3 linked regions of the Arabidopsis thaliana genome follow. The protein of the gene in region 1 interacts with the protein of each later gene in a biochemical or structural test. Each region holds a gene or a part of one and is shown in the gene's direction. Other genes may lie near its edges.

Region 1 (6,387 bases):
TCTATGAAATAATCTCAAATTACTTCACTTAGCCAATAAATTTTCATAATATATTAATTTTATAGTTGCCAGTCGATCAATTTTCACTACCAGTTAAAATAGTCGTATAAATGTATTTCTAGCCGTTATTAATTTTCTTTTCGTCTACCAAATTAAAGATCAATCTTTTTTTGTTAAGGAAAAAGAAATCGAAATTGGAAATTACCACGTTCTATTTCGTATTGTTTAAAGTTGGCTAGTCGATTATAAGCTGCACCAACAATTTTTAGTTTTATTTAAACTATGATTGTATACGACGACATTGACTATTGAGACATGCAACCAACAGATACAAAACAAAACTAACCAAAAAATGAAACACGCAAAATGAAGGAAAAAAATAAGATAAATTAAAATTAAATATTTATTCCTAAACGATGCACAGAAAAATCTAACAGAAGAAGATGCTTATATAAAACCAGGTGGACTAAAATTTCACAGAATTTTGTTTTCTTATGTTTGTAAGCATTTACTTTACTTGTTTTCTTATACCTGCAACTATGAATCATATTAAAAAAAACTACAAGATTAATAAAAAGATGAATCACTCATGGCACGTGAGAGTAGTCAAGAGATTAAGACATCATGCCTTAGTTTCAATTTAATATGATTAAATACACGAGTTTAGTTTAAATTGTTTGTTAATTTGATTTCCAATTCCTTGCATGTTATTCTTTATTGATCATATTATATGTGAGCTAATTTGTTGTATTAAGATTGTTTTCTTGAACTTTGAAAAGGTCGGAGAAGATTGGGACCTACATGTGTCACTTTAAAAGTCTGGTGTGACCTTTCTGATGGAGATGCCTTCGTGCGAAAGCTTACATTACAGTATGTGTCACAACTTCGCTTTCTTTTTATTTTCACCTTAAATATATATATTACCTCTTTCAGATTTAAGTTTTTGGATGGATCTTTTTTTTTTCTTTCAGTTTGGTTTTAAGCCTAGTTTTTGATAAAATTCCGGTGTAGTTGTTGTGGTTTTTATGTTTAGTTTGTTTTCAGCTTTCTTACATGATCAAAATTCAAAACAAAATTAGAGTTACACTAATTTACTTGGTTTTGTTTACTCATTCTTGATTAATCTTGTTTAACTTAGCATACCCAATTAATTGATAGACAGACTTTTCTCAATCAAATTAATATTCATATAAGAAACTTTAAAAAAATATCAAAATTAAATCTATACTATATAAAGACTTGTTTGCCTCAGACTCGTATTTGTAGATCATCCCCCTAAAGGCCTAAACCCTAAAAGAATATTTCTCTTATCATTACCTTTTTATCTTTCTTTTTTTTTTTGTCTTTTTACTTTTTCTTGGCCACAGCTTTGGCTGGAGTGGATTTCTCTTTGGTCCCTATTTTTTTGAAAGTGATAATATAATATGAACATATTTAATGCTGATAAAATAATTTACTTTGTGTACTGTATAAATAGTGAGACAACCAAAAATAAAAAGATCAGAAAAAAACGTCGGCCAGACCCTGTTGGATTCGCTTTTTTTTTTTTCTTTTTTAATTTGTTAAAAATGCATGTGAACACTTACAAGATTATTTTTTGGACAAAAAAATTCTATTTCTATTTTGTTTGTTTGTTTTAAAATTATTTTTGTAAAAAGAATTTATCGTTGTCTTCATCTCGTGATGGAGACTTAGAGAGGAGGACCAAACTCTCTGTCGTTAGCCACTGACAATTTACTAAATCGTATGGTTGCTAAAATGTTTTTGCATTGATTTTACAGAATTTGTTTTTGTTTATTGTCTATTTAAAAAATAAAAAAAGTTTGTTGGGTTAATATTGTTCCCAGAGTATCCTCTGTTTTATTCTTATAAGATATAATAATCACTCGTGAAGGAATCTTGAATGTTTTTAAAGCTCCTTGAGGAACTTTCATCTCTTACAGAGGATTTTCTTGGGAACTTTTCTCACTTTCTTCTTTAAATCAAGTTGCTACTTTTTTTGTTTCTTTAGATAAAATCGATATTCCATTCACAGTTACTTCATAAGTTTGCAGAGGTATTTCTTCATCTCAAAGGAAACGATTTGTCTTTTCATTTTCTCATTCTTCTTACTCTGATGAAACCAAATTTTGTTTCCAGGAAAAATAAAATTTAATCTCTTGTGCTCAAAAGTTTCCTGCATCTTTTCTTCTTGCAAGGTGTCTTAAAGAGGAGATTCTGTAACACATGTGGTGAGTTCTTCCTGTTTTTCTGGAATTCACATGCAAAAATCATATTTTTTTAGTTTGAAGATTGATTTCTAAGATTCTCTTCTGTTTAATGCATTAACGAGAAAGTGGTTAAAATATCAAGATCTTGAGAGTGGACCCTGTTTTGTAAGTACATTATATATAAATGTGATTCTTGAATGAAATGTGTCTCTCTCTTTGCAGGTTTTGATGATGATGCTTATATGATTTTATTTAGTAGTTGTGTGTGTTTTATGGTCTTGTGTGGCTATGGAGAAACTCTATTGTGGCATGCCGTTACTGCTTCTGGTTCTGCTTTTAGCTTCCATTGATGGCTCTACACAGCTACAATCATCTCAATCTCAAACCCTCTTGAGGCTGCAACAGCTTCTCTACTATCCCAAAGTGTTAAACAGCTGGAACAACTATACAGATTTCTGCAATTCTGAGCCAAGCCCTTCGCTAACCGTTGTGTGTTATGAAGATAGTGTAACGCAGCTTCACATTATAGGAGACAATGGAACTCATATGTTACCAAAGAGTTTCTCAATAAACTCGTTTGTTACTACTCTTGTTAAGCTCCCTGATGTTAAAGTTCTCACGTTTGTGTCCCTTGGGTTATGGGGTTGGTTACCTCAGAAAATCAACCGTTTATCCTCTTTGGAGATTCTCAATGTGAGTTCCAATTTCCTCTTTGGACCAATCCCTCATGAACTCTCGTCGCTTGCTACTCTTCAGACGCTTATACTCGACGAGAATATGTTTTCTGGTGAGTTACCGGATTGGATTGATTCTTTGCCGAGTTTAGCTGTGTTGAGCTTGAGAAAGAACGTGCTTAATGGGTCATTGCCTTCTTCTTTGAGTAGCTTGTCAGGTCTTAGAGTTCTTGCTTTAGCTAATAACCGGTTTAATGGAGCTTTGCCTGATTTAAGCCATTTGACAAACCTTCAAGTGCTTGATCTTGAAGGAAACTCTTTTGGACCGTTGTTTCCTCGGTTAAGTAACAAGCTGGTTACTCTTATACTCAGCAAGAACAAGTTTAGATCTGCAGTTTCAGCTGAAGAAGTAAGTTCTCTGTATCAGCTTCAACATTTGGATCTTTCCTACAATACATTCGTTGGTCCATTTCCTACTTCCTTGATGTCTCTTCCCGCGATAACTTACTTGAACATTTCACACAACAAACTCACCGGGCGGCTTTCAGCAAATCTTTCTTGCAACTCACAGCTGATGTTTGTAGATATGTCATCAAATCTTCTTACCGGAAGTTTGCCTACTTGCCTTAAACCGAGTTCCGGCACTAGCAGAGATGTTGTCTATGCAAGCAACTGTTTGGCTACTACGAATGAAGATCAACGTCCAGTTTCTTTTTGTAGTAATGAAGCTCTTGCTGTTGGAATCCTACCACAGAGGAGGAACAAAGTTTCCAAAGTGGGTATTGCTTTAGGTGTAACCGCAAGCATTCTCGGGGTACTTCTCCTCGCCGGTGCCTTATTTGTGGTTCTTAGGAGATTAAATGCTAAGAAAACAGTGACGAAATCTTCCCCAAGATTGATTAGAGAGAATGCTTCAATGGGGTACACATCGAAACTACTATCAGATGCAAGTAAGAGGATAAAATATCTCTCACATATTGTCACATAGATTACATAGAACTTGTCTTCATTGATAACTTGTGCTGTAACTGCAATACTTTGAAGGGTATATCTCTCAAACAATGAAGCTAGGAGGGCTCGGTCTTCCAGCTTACAGGACATTCTCACTGGAGGAGCTCGAGTATGCAACAAATAACTTTGAATCCTCTGCTTTCATGGGTGAAGGTTCTCAAGGACAGGTACAGCAGTGAAGCTTCAATCTTTCTTTAGCTAGTTTCCATTTTTTGAACAGTTGAATCAAACAAGATTTTTGTTTTCATTGTTCTTTTCAGATTTATAGAGGGAGATTGAAAGATGGATCCTTTGTGGCAATTAGGTGTCTGAAAATGAAGAAAAGTTGCAGCACACAAAACTTGATGCATCACATTGAGCTCATCGCTAAACTGCGGCACCGTCACTTGGTTAGTGTGCTCGGGCACTGCTTCGAGTGCTACTTGGATGATTCAACAGTCAGCAGAATGTTCTTTGTCTTTGAGTATGTCCCAAATGGAGAACTCAGGACCTGGATTTCTGGTACCACACTGAAACATCATGTGTTTTAAGAATGAAGATGATCATTATATATTTTTTAATAACTAAATCGGATTGTTCTTGTCTCTGCTGTGCTAGATGGGCACATGGGAAGATTGCTTACTTGGGAACAACGCATAAGCGTAGCGATAGGTGTAGCAAAAGGGATCCAGTTCTTGCATACCGGTATTGTGCCTGGTGTTTATGATAACAACCTTAAAATGACAGACATTTTGCTTGACAATAACCTTGCGGCGAAACTCAGTAGCTATAATCTTCCATTGCTTGTGGAAGGTCTTGGAAAGGTAAATGACGATGTCAAAAGTTCGAATGTTTTTGTTTCTTGAATTTTGAATCTCTTTTGCTTTCCTTTCTAAGGTGGGGCAAGTAGGATCTCGGAGCGGACCTAAAGGCACTCCAAGGTGTGTAATAATCTTCTTTACTCTGTTTCTCATCAGCTTGTAAACCCGGTTATATGGTTTAATCCTCTGTTTCTCAAAAGAATCAAAAACGGTTTATATGGTTTAATCCTCTGTTTCTCATCAGCTTGTAAACCGGTTTATATGGTTTAATCCTCTGTTTCTTAACAGCATCAAAGACGAAGATAAAATCGATATCTATGATTTTGGAGTGATATTGCTTGAACTTATAGTGGGAAGACCATTGAGAGCAAAGAGTCAAGTCGATGTTCTAAAAGAGCAGGTAACACCATTCGATATATATGTAGCTTGATGTGGAATCGCTATCATCTACTTTAAAAACTCTTTTTTATTTGTTGTAGTTACAAGCAAGCATTTCAGCGGATGATGGAGCACGTAGGAGCATGGTGGATCCAACGGTCCATAGAGCTTGTTCAGACCAATCACTGAAGACAATGATGGAGATATGTGTAAGGTGTCTCCTTAAAGACCCTTTAGAACGTCCTTCCATTGAAGATGTCCTGTGGAATCTTCAGTTTGCTTCTCAAGTTCAAGAAGGTTGGCTACAAAACAGCAATCCCTCGAGCAATCTCGGCTCGCCTTCTCCTGCTGCTTCCTCTCTTCCTCCTCCCTCTCGTTTACACGTAACAACACTCGAATCTCCCCGAGATTCAGGTATTTTTGAACTCGATCTTTTATGATCAATTGATTCAGTTCAGAATAGAATTTGATTGTTAAAGATTTGAGATTGAATAAGTTTATTGATCTGAGACTTATTTGTGTGGTTGTAATTGCAGGATGTGAAGAACATGAGAGGTAGAGAGACGAGGGTTTTTGTTTGGTCTTGTTCACTGATCACTACTCTTTGGAAAGAACATAACCTTTTTGTTTGTAATTTGATGTTTGTTTTTGTTTTTTTGTCTTTAGTTGTGTTGAGCTTAAACGATCATAACAGTTAATAATATAGTTAATTTTTCTTATAAACTTTACTTAAAAGAACAGTGTCGGTTAATTTTTATTCTTCAAAAGGAATACAAGTCCAACAATGGTGAGATAATTTTGGAAAATTCAATCGTTTTTTCTTCCTGTTTTGTTCAGCGAAAATAAATTAAAATTGTATATAGAAATTGAGATGGAACCGATTTCTAGGGTTTAGAAAAGATTTGCTTGATTGATTCTTCTTGTCCAAGAAATCAAAATAGAGGATAATGGCTGGTGTTGGATCATCAAATCCTTTACTTATTTATTAATTTGGATTCGTATGTAAATTCAGTTAATTCCAACTAGTATGATAATTAACCAATAACTACATGCATATATCTCATTCAAATATTTCACGACAACTCTACATGTATAGTATACGTCTGCTGGATATACTTATTCTCTTTCTCAACATTATTATAAAAACGGAGATATATTTAAATTAAAGACAAACCCTAGGTAATACATTCATCTCCGGTGAAAATCCTCCGCCGGAAATATAACCTTCGAAGCCACCGCCGTCGATCCAACAGCCACCGAAAAATCAGCACCGCTCTCTTCCTCATCCTCATGCTGATAATCTCCTCTCCTTTG
Region 2 (4,746 bases), on another chromosome or scaffold:
GTCATTTTCTAATACATACAAAAGACCAAATAATATTCGCTATTTCACATGAAGATTATCTACATTGTTGGAAGCGCAAGTTGGGTTTCGATCACATATTTGATCATGTCCAAAATAAGGGAATGTCATATTCTAACAGATTTGATATGCAAAAATCAAGATTGTGAGAAGATTCTACTAAGACTACCAAACCAACGTTAACGGCAAAAAAGAAAAGGCAACGGCGAAACCTTCCGGTCACCACTCGAAGTTGGACTCTCCTTTAAGCAATAGAGTATATCAACATTTATCAAATAAATAGTTGTTGTTTTGAGACCTAAGTTCATATATGGACATAATCAAGATGGTGTCAACAGTTTTGGGTTAGGTGTGCTTCAGACTTAATCTTTGAGCTGGGTAAGATTTCCTTTCTATCTAGTGTTACGAGCTAGCGTGTCTCTGTAACAGGTTGTCTTCGGGTAAGTTTGGTCTTGCAGCTTGAGCTTGTGGTGGGAATTCTCTGTACAGTCGTTATCTTCATAAATAAAATGGTACTTATCAGAAAATAAAATAAAATTAGAAGACAATATTGAAAGATTATACAACTCATTTGCATTGACGTATGACAATACTAAACATAAAATTTGTTTAAAATTTAGGGGTAACGACTACGAATGTAGGTCCGTTTTACAACAATGACTAAAACAAATTGGTTCTTTGACACCGACAGATACTTTGGATGTGAACACCAAAATGTTGCAGCTTCTTCACATGCTCCTCTTGTACTATGACAATAACATATGTGCCTAAAGATTATCGCATATTAATAAGTATCCATTACATGCGGAACAGGAATAACATTTTTTCAACAATTGCATAATTGAAACCGGATAGAAATACAACAAGGACACTAAGTCAAATCATTAGAATACATGTCATGGTCTACAGAAAATTAATAGATTAGACAAATATTTTGTTTAGTTGCATATAATATCATGAGTAATTGAGTATTAGAGTATTTTACTCATGATACATAAGAAACTTATAACTATTCTTTCGATATTCTCATATTTGGAAATAGTTAGGAACTGTAAAAGCTAAAACTGATTGATGATTACATTTGGTGGCGTCAATTTGTTTTACATTTATCAAATTTCTTTCTTTTTTCGGCATAGGGATACATTTTTTGTCATGCTATAGTGAGTAAATTAGAAATCCGACATAACTAAGCATCAGGAGGAAAATCCAAATGATGAAGTGGTCCACTTAAAAGGTCACGTTAGCTAGAACTGAACCAAATGTTGTACGAGTTTTAAGATTATATGCTCTTGGTCCTAATGCCAAAACCATTTGTTTTTCCCATAAAATTTATTTACATGCGTTATCTTGTAGTATGGCAAAATTTGGAGTATCACTTAATAGTTTTCACACGTAACACGTAAAAAATATAGTTTTGATAGTTGGTTTTACAACACTTTTACTTGATAGTTGTTCTTACAACACTTATACTTGTAATTAAGTCACTTCTACGGTTTAAAAATTATTTATAGAAACGATAATCAACTTTGTCCAAGTTTGGGCTTGGAAACTAAAATCAACATTATTCATATGGGCCAACCAAAAATGCATATCTTTAGCTTATTTTTTATTCGCTCTTGCTTTTCTCAATCTTCTTGACTCTTTCAACGAACATTCGCGCCATAAGCTCCTAAGTTCCTCTCATCCAATGGATCACAAATGACAAAGAAAAACAAAAGACAGAGAAAACAGAGACAAAGCGAGAAACAAGACAAGGAATACAGAAAAATTAGTAAATCGAATCACCAAAAAAAAAAAAAAAACTACTTTGATTAATCAAAAAAAAAAAAGAGTTGCTTGAAACTCCCGGCGGCCTAGCTCCGGTTAAGTAAATGGCCGTGGCTTGGCTAATCTGGCCAATCGTGCTATCTCTAACAGCACTTTCTGCGAATTCGATAACCGAATCAGAATCTTTATTGAAATTCAAGAAGTCCTTAAACAACACCAAGTCTCTTGATTCTTGGACACCAGAGTCAGAACCTTGTGGAGCAAGCCAACGATGGATCGGATTACTCTGCAACAAAAACTCTGTCTTTGGCCTCCAGATCGAACAAATGGGTCTATCAGGAAAAGTTGATGTCGCTCCGTTAAAAGACCTACCATCTTTACGCACCATAAGCATAATGAACAACTCTTTCTCTGGTGACATACCCGAGTTTAACAGATTAACCGCTCTGAAGTCGCTTTACATATCAGGAAATCGATTCTCTGGTAACATTCCTTCTGATTATTTCGAAACAATGGTGTCGCTAAAGAAAGCTTGGCTGTCAAACAACCATTTCTCTGGTCTCATTCCTATCTCATTGGCAACTACATTGCCAAATCTCATTGAGTTACGCCTCGAAAATAATCAATTCATCGGGAGTATACCTAATTTCACACAAACGACTTTAGCTATTGTTGATCTATCAAACAACCAACTAACCGGAGAAATACCTCCCGGTTTGTTGAAATTCGACGCGAAGACTTTTGCGGGGAATTCTGGCCTTTGCGGTGCCAAGCTATCCACTCCATGCCCACAACCAAAAAATTCGACTGCATCCATAACGATAGAAGGAACAATGAAAGATGCAAATAAGAGCAAATACTTTCTAGCATTCAGCACATTAGGAGTGCTTCTTATCGTCGTCCTTGTCTCCTTAGCTTTCAGAAAAAAGAAAAAGAAGAGACGGAGGAAGAAGGCACGTCGTACCTCTGAACAAGACAATAGTGACGACCAACAAATTCAGGTTACTTCCACTACACGTAATTTTCACATTTTCAAATGAGAGTTTTTAAACCTATAAAATCACACAAAATTTTGATATGATTGAGACAGGTAACTGTTGAGGGATCAAATAGCTCAAGGCAGAGTAGGAGCAGTCGGTCCGGCGAATTGAATAAAGGAGTGGCGGGGACATCAGACCTAGTTATGGTGAACAAGGAAAAAGGTGTTTTCCGTTTATCAGACTTGATGAAAGCGGCGGCTCACGTGCTTGGTAATCCCGGCGGTGGAAGCAACCGTCCAAGAAGTAGCGGAGGCGTGGGATCTGCCTACAAAGCGGTTCTTTCAAACGGTGTCACGGTAGTGGTGAAACGTGTGACGGTAATGAATCAAGTGAGTGTTGACGTATTCGACAAGGAGATTAGGAAACTAGGAAGCTTGCAACACAAGAACGTATTAACGCCCCTAGCTTACCATTTCCGACAAGACGAGAAATTGCTAGTGTTCGAATTTGTTCCTAATTTGAATTTGCTTCACCGATTACACGGAGACCACGAAGAATTTCAATTAGATTGGCCTTCTCGACTCAAAATCATTCAAGGAATCGCTAGGGGAATGTGGTATCTCCATAGAGAATTAGGGTTTCTAAACCTACCACATGGAAACCTAAAATCAAGCAATATATTTCTTGCGGAAGACGGCGAGCCACTCATCTCCGAATTTGGACTTCAAAAACTAATCAATCCCGACGCTCAATCTCAATCTCTCGTCGCGTTTAAATCTCCAGAAGCGGATCGTGATGGAACCGTCTCTGCGAAATCTGATGTATTTAGTTTCGGAGTCGTGGTACTTGAGATCTTGACCGGAAAATTCCCGTCTCAATACGCTGGTTTGAACAGAGCCGGTGGGGCAAATTTGGTTGAGTGGTTAGGCTCCGCATTGGAACAAGGTGGTTGGATGGATCTGCTTCATCCGATGGTGGTAACCGCCGCCGCTGAAGATAAAATTATGGAGGAGGAAATTGAGAACGTTTTAAGGATCGGTGTGAGATGTACCAGAGAAGATCCAGATCAGAGACCGAATATGACTGAAGTCGTTGATGAACTGACTATTGAAGATTCTAACGACGACTTTATCACCATAGAAACTTAGCTTCACCGTCGATCAATTCCAACCGTTAGATTCATGCAGATTCACCAATTTTGGATTTTTTTTTTGTTTTTTTTTCACTTTGCCACTTCTTGTTTTTCTGTTTAAATTTGTATATGATTAATGTGTCAACTTAAGGCTACTTGTAAACAAAAAATGTGTGTTGTAACGTTTTGTGCATAGATTAGTTATCAGTCTGTTTTGCTGTTTTCATTACCACTAGTAAACTTTGGTATTAATCAAACACACATCATTAGCGATTTGCTGTTTTTATTACAACTTGTAAATTTTGGTATTAAACACACACCATTATCGATTATATTATCAATGAAAGTTACGAATTACGAACCAATAATATGCCTATATCACGTGTTTGTGTATACGTCGTACGTGATGAAGAAGAAAAATGATAAATTGAATTGTATGACAGCTAAACACAGCTGTAGATTAACGAATCGTGAAATTATTATTATTATTATTATTTTCTATCATAGAATTAATTAAATTATGGCCAGAATTAAGTTAGCAGACAACAAAAGACCCATCACTGCATTTTGATTATTAATCATCACTTATATTCTATGAACAAAAAAATTATACGAGTACGAATATATTGTATTATTGTGTTAATATGACAATTTTAATCTAATATTAATAGGTAGGATACAATATTATAATTAGTGGCATTAATTAGAAATCTAATGCACATTGAATCAGGACAAACAAATATGACTTGGGTGAATTTCTCAAGCATCAAATCAAGGTATATATATGGGTATAAAGTTGCAATAAATAAAATTTCGTGATGATTATTAAATCGACAAATCTAATGACAT
Region 3 (5,896 bases), on another chromosome or scaffold:
TGTAGTAATCACGGGAAAAAAACTTTCGTGAGTTCATATAAAACTATGGCCAATAATCTAATATAACCAATCATGCAGTCTCCCTAACATGATTGAAGTTGAGACAATTTAGCTTCAGTGCCCTAGGCATAGGACTCAAGTTGGGAACCATTTTTCCCTATCTGCATTCTGCACAATAGTTCATGTCATGTTTTGTAATCTTATAAAAATTTATGATTTTCATTTTTGTTTCCCCTGAAAGTCACAGAACCCATTTACCATCAAACGTCAAATCAACGAGAAAAAGCATTAAATATTAATGATTGTTTCTCATAAATCGAGTTTTAAGAAACCGTGTCACGTGGAGACCAAACTATAAAAACTTGACTAGGAATGAAAGTAGTTCTTGAACAAGGAAATTTTATATATTGTTTGTTCACCACAAATTTAGAATATTTGTTTTTGTTTCTTTCCTTTTGGTTTACAGGTCGGTACGCATTGATGAAGATAACGATGATGTACGAATGTGAATATATATAGTTAAATAAATAGAACCTTGCAAAATCATTTTTAATGTGTGCTCCATTACAAGAAAAATAAATGATTCACATGTATTCTTACTAAGTAAACAACATTTCTTGATATAGTAAACACATATTACGTACTTTGTTGATCGAAATCAGAATCTAAGCAAATATTATTGTGTAATTTTTCTGTTAACCAACTTTTCGAAACAAGATAATTTGACGTTAAGTTTCAAAAATTTGGTTAAGGGAAAAATGAAATTACAAGATATATTTACTAGTTTATGTAATATTATAAAAAAACTTCTCCAAAATTTCAGATGATTGAAATCTTTAAAAGCCAGCATAACTATAATGAATGATGATAATTAAGTATTTCACTTAACCAGGTAAACCATATTCGTTTTAAGATCATATAGTAGTATATACTTCGAACAAATGCAAATGCATGTCATAATATTACTGCCAACTCACACATAGACAAAAACCCATGAAAACGACACGAGGTTTGGACAAATTGTAATGTCTTGGACTTGGATACTGGGTTATCTTATACATCTATTATTACTACACACTACAAAATATTGAAAATCTTATTGTGAATATAAATCTTGTAGTAGTCAAATAAAAAAAGAGTGGGTTAAAATATTTGCATTTTGACTATTAAGAAAAGGTGTTGTATTCTGAAATTTGTTATCTATACAGATTTGTTTTCCTGATGGAAGTTAAATGTGATCGTTGCTCTTAGTGGGATTTATCGAATTTATTTCTTTTAGATCTAAATTTTTTAAAAGACTATTATAAATAATTAACTTACAACATTTTTTTGAAGAAAAAAAAGCTTATCCTTCAATACTTGTACTAATATCTTCGTATTTCCACACATCGAGAAGACAAAGATGCTGAAAATTTGAGTGGGCAACAAAATCAATATAGTAGACAGAAGTATCTTGAGCCTAGTTTTTCATACAGTATAATCTTCTCATCGAAGTTCTCACATTCTCAAAACATATTAATCAAAAAAAAAAAAAAAAATTGCATACAAAAACATTCTATATACGGAGGAATTAATAAAGTCTAGCCTATGCATGACCAACCATGGATTGTTGGGTTCCGTTTACACCAAGCAATCAGTCAACAATGTGATTTAATCATACCCTTGAAACTTAACAACTCTTTTTCATCAGATTTCAACACTCGAAAAACAATCTATGTAAGTGTAATGTGAAATAAATTAAGAAATAGGAAAATGTAACAAAAACACTGTATATTCTAAACTAAAATTAGAAACCATAGACAAAAACATGACAGGGTGGCAGCTAGCAAAAGAACAGTAATCTAATTTCCTGCTTTACCCTTCAAAATTTTTGAAATACACAAAATATAGATTTGCTTTACTGACTATTCTTGTCGATTACAAGAAACAATATGGGCAAAATTATTTTTATAATATCTTTTCTTACAAATTTTTAATATAAATTTATTACTTTTTTAACGGTCTCCCCACACACAAACTTTATCGACAAGCATGCTATTCTAATTTCACTTTAGACTACCAATGAATCTGGTATCTCTATAAAGTTTGTATATCTTGTTTCTGACATACAAAAAAATAGTTTTTTTTAAAATAAAGGTTATGCTTTTGGTGAAGTGGGTTCATCTTGATGTTGAAATGTTTTTATACTTTAACCAAAATTGAAATGAAAAAAGGATAGAGATTTGGTTTTTTGATTCTTCCAATCTCACTCTCTCTGTCTTTCTCTCTCCATCAAATACCAAATTATCTGGAAGCTGAGTACATCTTGTTTTCTGCTCATTCCTCTGTTTCAACAATGGAGAGTACTATTGTTATGATGATGATGATAACAAGATCTTTCTTTTGCTTCTTGGGATTTTTATGCCTTCTCTGCTCTTCTGTTCACGGATTGCTTTCTCCTAAAGGTGTTAACTTTGAAGGTATATTCACTGTAAAGTCTCACTCTTTGGATTCTCTCTCTTTTTTTTTTTTTTACATTGTCACTTTCGTAGATGAAGTGTTTGATATTTGGTCTTTCTGGAATTTTTAGTTGATGGGAATTCAAATAAAAGTATATATTTCTTCTTGATCCAAACTAATATGGGAGTTTTTTATTTTCGTCAGTGCAAGCTTTGATGGACATAAAAGCTTCATTACATGATCCTCATGGTGTTCTTGATAACTGGGATAGAGATGCTGTTGATCCTTGTAGTTGGACAATGGTCACTTGTTCTTCTGAAAACTTTGTCATTGGCTTGTAAGTTTCACATTTTACATTGATACACTTATACTGTATATTACACTGATGAGCAAGCAAGGAAAACAATGATATAAATTTTATTACAGAGGCACACCAAGTCAGAATTTATCTGGTACACTATCTCCAAGCATTACCAACTTAACAAATCTTCGGATTGTGTAAGTACTTACTGTTCACTAAATGATTATTAAGTTTAAAATTTGATTAAATTCTTCTGTTTTGTGTGTGTGTGTGTGTTCTTGATGATTTTTTCCTCTTACAGGCTGTTGCAGAACAACAACATAAAAGGAAAAATTCCTGCTGAGATTGGTCGGCTTACGAGGCTTGAGACTCTTGATCTTTCTGATAATTTCTTCCACGGTGAAATTCCTTTTTCAGTAGGCTATCTACAAAGCCTGCAATATCTGTAAGAATAGTAAAAATTTGTTATGGATCTTTTAAATTTTGTGTTGTTTTTATAAGGAATTTGTGATCTTGATATGTCATGTTGTGTATCATCAGGAGGCTTAACAACAATTCTCTCTCTGGAGTGTTTCCTCTGTCACTATCTAATATGACTCAACTTGCCTTTCTGTAAGCTAATAAATCTTCAGTTTACATTAACCAGTAAAGAAATTCATATGTAGAGACATGAAATGTTGAGATTTGATCTGTTTTTTTTTTTGTTTCCAGTGATTTATCATACAACAATCTTAGTGGTCCTGTTCCAAGATTTGCTGCAAAGACGTTTAGGTAATTTGATTTATTGACAATGTCTCACTCTTTCACTCTCTTTGTCCGTATGATAACCTTTCATTGTTTCCCTTCGGATTACAGCATCGTTGGGAACCCGCTGATATGTCCAACGGGTACCGAACCAGACTGCAATGGAACAACATTGATACCTATGTCTATGAACTTGAATCAAACTGGAGGTAAATAACGAACTTCCTTTAAAACTTTCAATCTTAGTATTATGATCATACCTAACTAACAACAAACTGCTTTCTTTTTTAAGTTCCTTTATACGCCGGTGGATCGAGGAATCACAAAATGGCAATCGCTGTTGGATCCAGCGTTGGGACTGTATCATTAATCTTCATTGCTGTTGGTTTGTTTCTCTGGTGGAGACAAAGACATAACCAAAACACATTCTTTGATGTTAAAGGTTTGATCTTACTCAGTTTATTACTTGCACAGAACAATCTTATAAAGTTTTTTTTTTTTATAAAGAAAGTTCTTTTATTCAACAGATGGGAATCATCATGAGGAAGTTTCACTTGGAAACCTGAGGAGATTTGGTTTCAGGGAGCTTCAGATTGCGACCAATAACTTCAGCAGTAAGAACTTATTGGGGAAAGGTGGCTATGGAAATGTATACAAAGGAATACTTGGAGATAGTACAGTGGTTGCAGTGAAAAGGCTTAAAGATGGAGGAGCATTGGGAGGAGAGATTCAGTTTCAGACAGAAGTTGAAATGATCAGTTTAGCTGTTCATCGAAATCTCTTAAGACTCTACGGTTTCTGCATCACACAAACTGAGAAGCTTCTAGTTTATCCTTATATGTCTAATGGAAGCGTTGCATCTCGAATGAAAGCAAAACCTGTTCTTGACTGGAGCATAAGGAAGAGGATAGCCATAGGAGCTGCAAGAGGGCTTGTGTATCTCCATGAGCAATGTGATCCGAAGATTATCCACCGCGATGTCAAAGCAGCGAATATACTTCTTGATGACTACTGTGAAGCTGTGGTTGGCGATTTTGGTTTAGCTAAACTCTTGGATCATCAAGATTCTCATGTGACAACCGCGGTTAGAGGCACGGTGGGTCACATTGCTCCAGAGTATCTCTCAACTGGTCAATCCTCTGAGAAAACAGATGTTTTTGGCTTCGGGATTCTTCTTCTTGAGCTTGTAACCGGACAAAGAGCTTTTGAGTTTGGTAAAGCGGCTAACCAGAAAGGTGTGATGCTTGATTGGGTTAAAAAGATTCATCAAGAGAAGAAACTTGAGCTACTTGTGGATAAAGAGTTGTTGAAGAAGAAGAGCTACGATGAGATTGAGTTAGACGAAATGGTAAGAGTAGCTTTGTTGTGCACACAGTACCTGCCAGGACATAGACCAAAAATGTCTGAAGTTGTTCGAATGCTGGAAGGAGATGGACTTGCAGAGAAATGGGAAGCTTCTCAAAGATCAGACAGTGTTTCAAAATGTAGCAACAGGATAAATGAATTGATGTCATCTTCAGACAGATACTCTGATCTTACCGATGACTCTAGTTTACTTGTGCAAGCAATGGAGCTCTCTGGTCCTAGATGAAATCTATACATGAATCTGAAGAAGAAGAAGAACATGCATCTGTTTCTTGAATCAAGAGGGATTCTTGTTTTTTTGTATAATAGAGAGGTTTTTTGGAGGGAAATGTTGTGTCTCTGTAACTGTATAGGCTTGTTGTGTAAGAAGTTATTACTGCACTTAGGGTTAATTCAAAGTTCTTTACATAAAAAATGATTAGTTGCGTTGAATAGAGGGAACACTTTGGGAGATTTCATGTGTGAAATTTGGGAATTCATGTTTGAGAATGAAATTTATCTTATTATTGGATCCAACTCCACAAGTTAAAAATTTTCATTAATGCAAACTAGTTTCATTGTTTGTTTTGCACACACACCTGACCTACTGATAGGAAAAGGTAAAGTGAAAAAAAGAAGAAATGTCTCTCATAAAGACAACACGTAGTTCATATGTTGCCAAAACTTAAACGGAACTTTACTTTCGTTTTCAATGGATGATGAAACGTCGAGAATGTGTTTTCAAGAAAACGGCATGAAGTTGTTCTCTCCGTCAAAGAAACGACGTGTTTGTGTATATAAGGAAACACCACGTGGACGTGGACCGTCCATGAAATATAAAAACGGCAATAATCTATGTATACATGGTTCACACTAGATTCAAAGTCACACTTTATACCTACAAATGGAAACGTTCACACAATAGCTTCATCAAAGTCAGAATCACATATAGTGATATGATTTGGTTTGATAACATTAACAATATGCAAAGTCAAGAATTACACGCACATTCTATACGTTTATATGAAAGAAAAAGACAGTTAAAAAGCGAATCATATCTGCATAATT

The links.
Region 2: the proteins of AT3G03770 (region 1) and AT1G72460 form a complex in vitro, tested with the Arabidopsis thaliana proteins (one large-scale study listed by BioGRID).
Region 3: the proteins of AT3G03770 (region 1) and NIK1 form a complex in vitro, tested with the Arabidopsis thaliana proteins (one large-scale study listed by BioGRID).

The regions. Positions count from the first base shown.
Region 1 is NC_003074.8:944,548-950,934, reverse strand, and holds AT3G03770 (Leucine-rich repeat protein kinase family protein), read left to right. Parts: upstream 1-1,696; 5' UTR 1,697-2,056; exon of another isoform or gene 2,057-2,139; 5' UTR 2,140-2,231; intron 2,232-2,432; 5' UTR 2,433-2,498; coding exon 2,499-3,834; intron 3,835-3,928; coding exon 3,929-4,062; intron 4,063-4,155; coding exon 4,156-4,396; intron 4,397-4,492; coding exon 4,493-4,698; intron 4,699-4,771; coding exon 4,772-4,815; intron 4,816-4,983; coding exon 4,984-5,095; intron 5,096-5,174; coding exon 5,175-5,487; intron 5,488-5,609; coding exon 5,610-5,632; 3' UTR 5,633-5,858; downstream 5,859-6,387. Other genes in the region: LBD20 (LOB domain-containing protein 20), read right to left, coding at 6,262-6,387.
Region 2 is NC_003070.9:27,277,621-27,282,366, forward strand, and holds AT1G72460 (Leucine-rich repeat protein kinase family protein), read left to right. Parts: upstream 1-1,720; 5' UTR 1,721-1,889; coding exon 1,890-2,786; intron 2,787-2,875; coding exon 2,876-3,913; 3' UTR 3,914-4,210; downstream 4,211-4,746.
Region 3 is NC_003076.8:5,221,929-5,227,824, forward strand, and holds NIK1 (NSP-interacting kinase 1), read left to right. Parts: upstream 1-2,005; 5' UTR 2,006-2,335; coding exon 2,336-2,459; intron 2,460-2,643; coding exon 2,644-2,776; intron 2,777-2,865; coding exon 2,866-2,937; intron 2,938-3,041; coding exon 3,042-3,185; intron 3,186-3,280; coding exon 3,281-3,352; intron 3,353-3,451; coding exon 3,452-3,511; intron 3,512-3,595; coding exon 3,596-3,693; intron 3,694-3,776; coding exon 3,777-3,926; intron 3,927-4,011; coding exon 4,012-5,075; 3' UTR 5,076-5,360; downstream 5,361-5,896.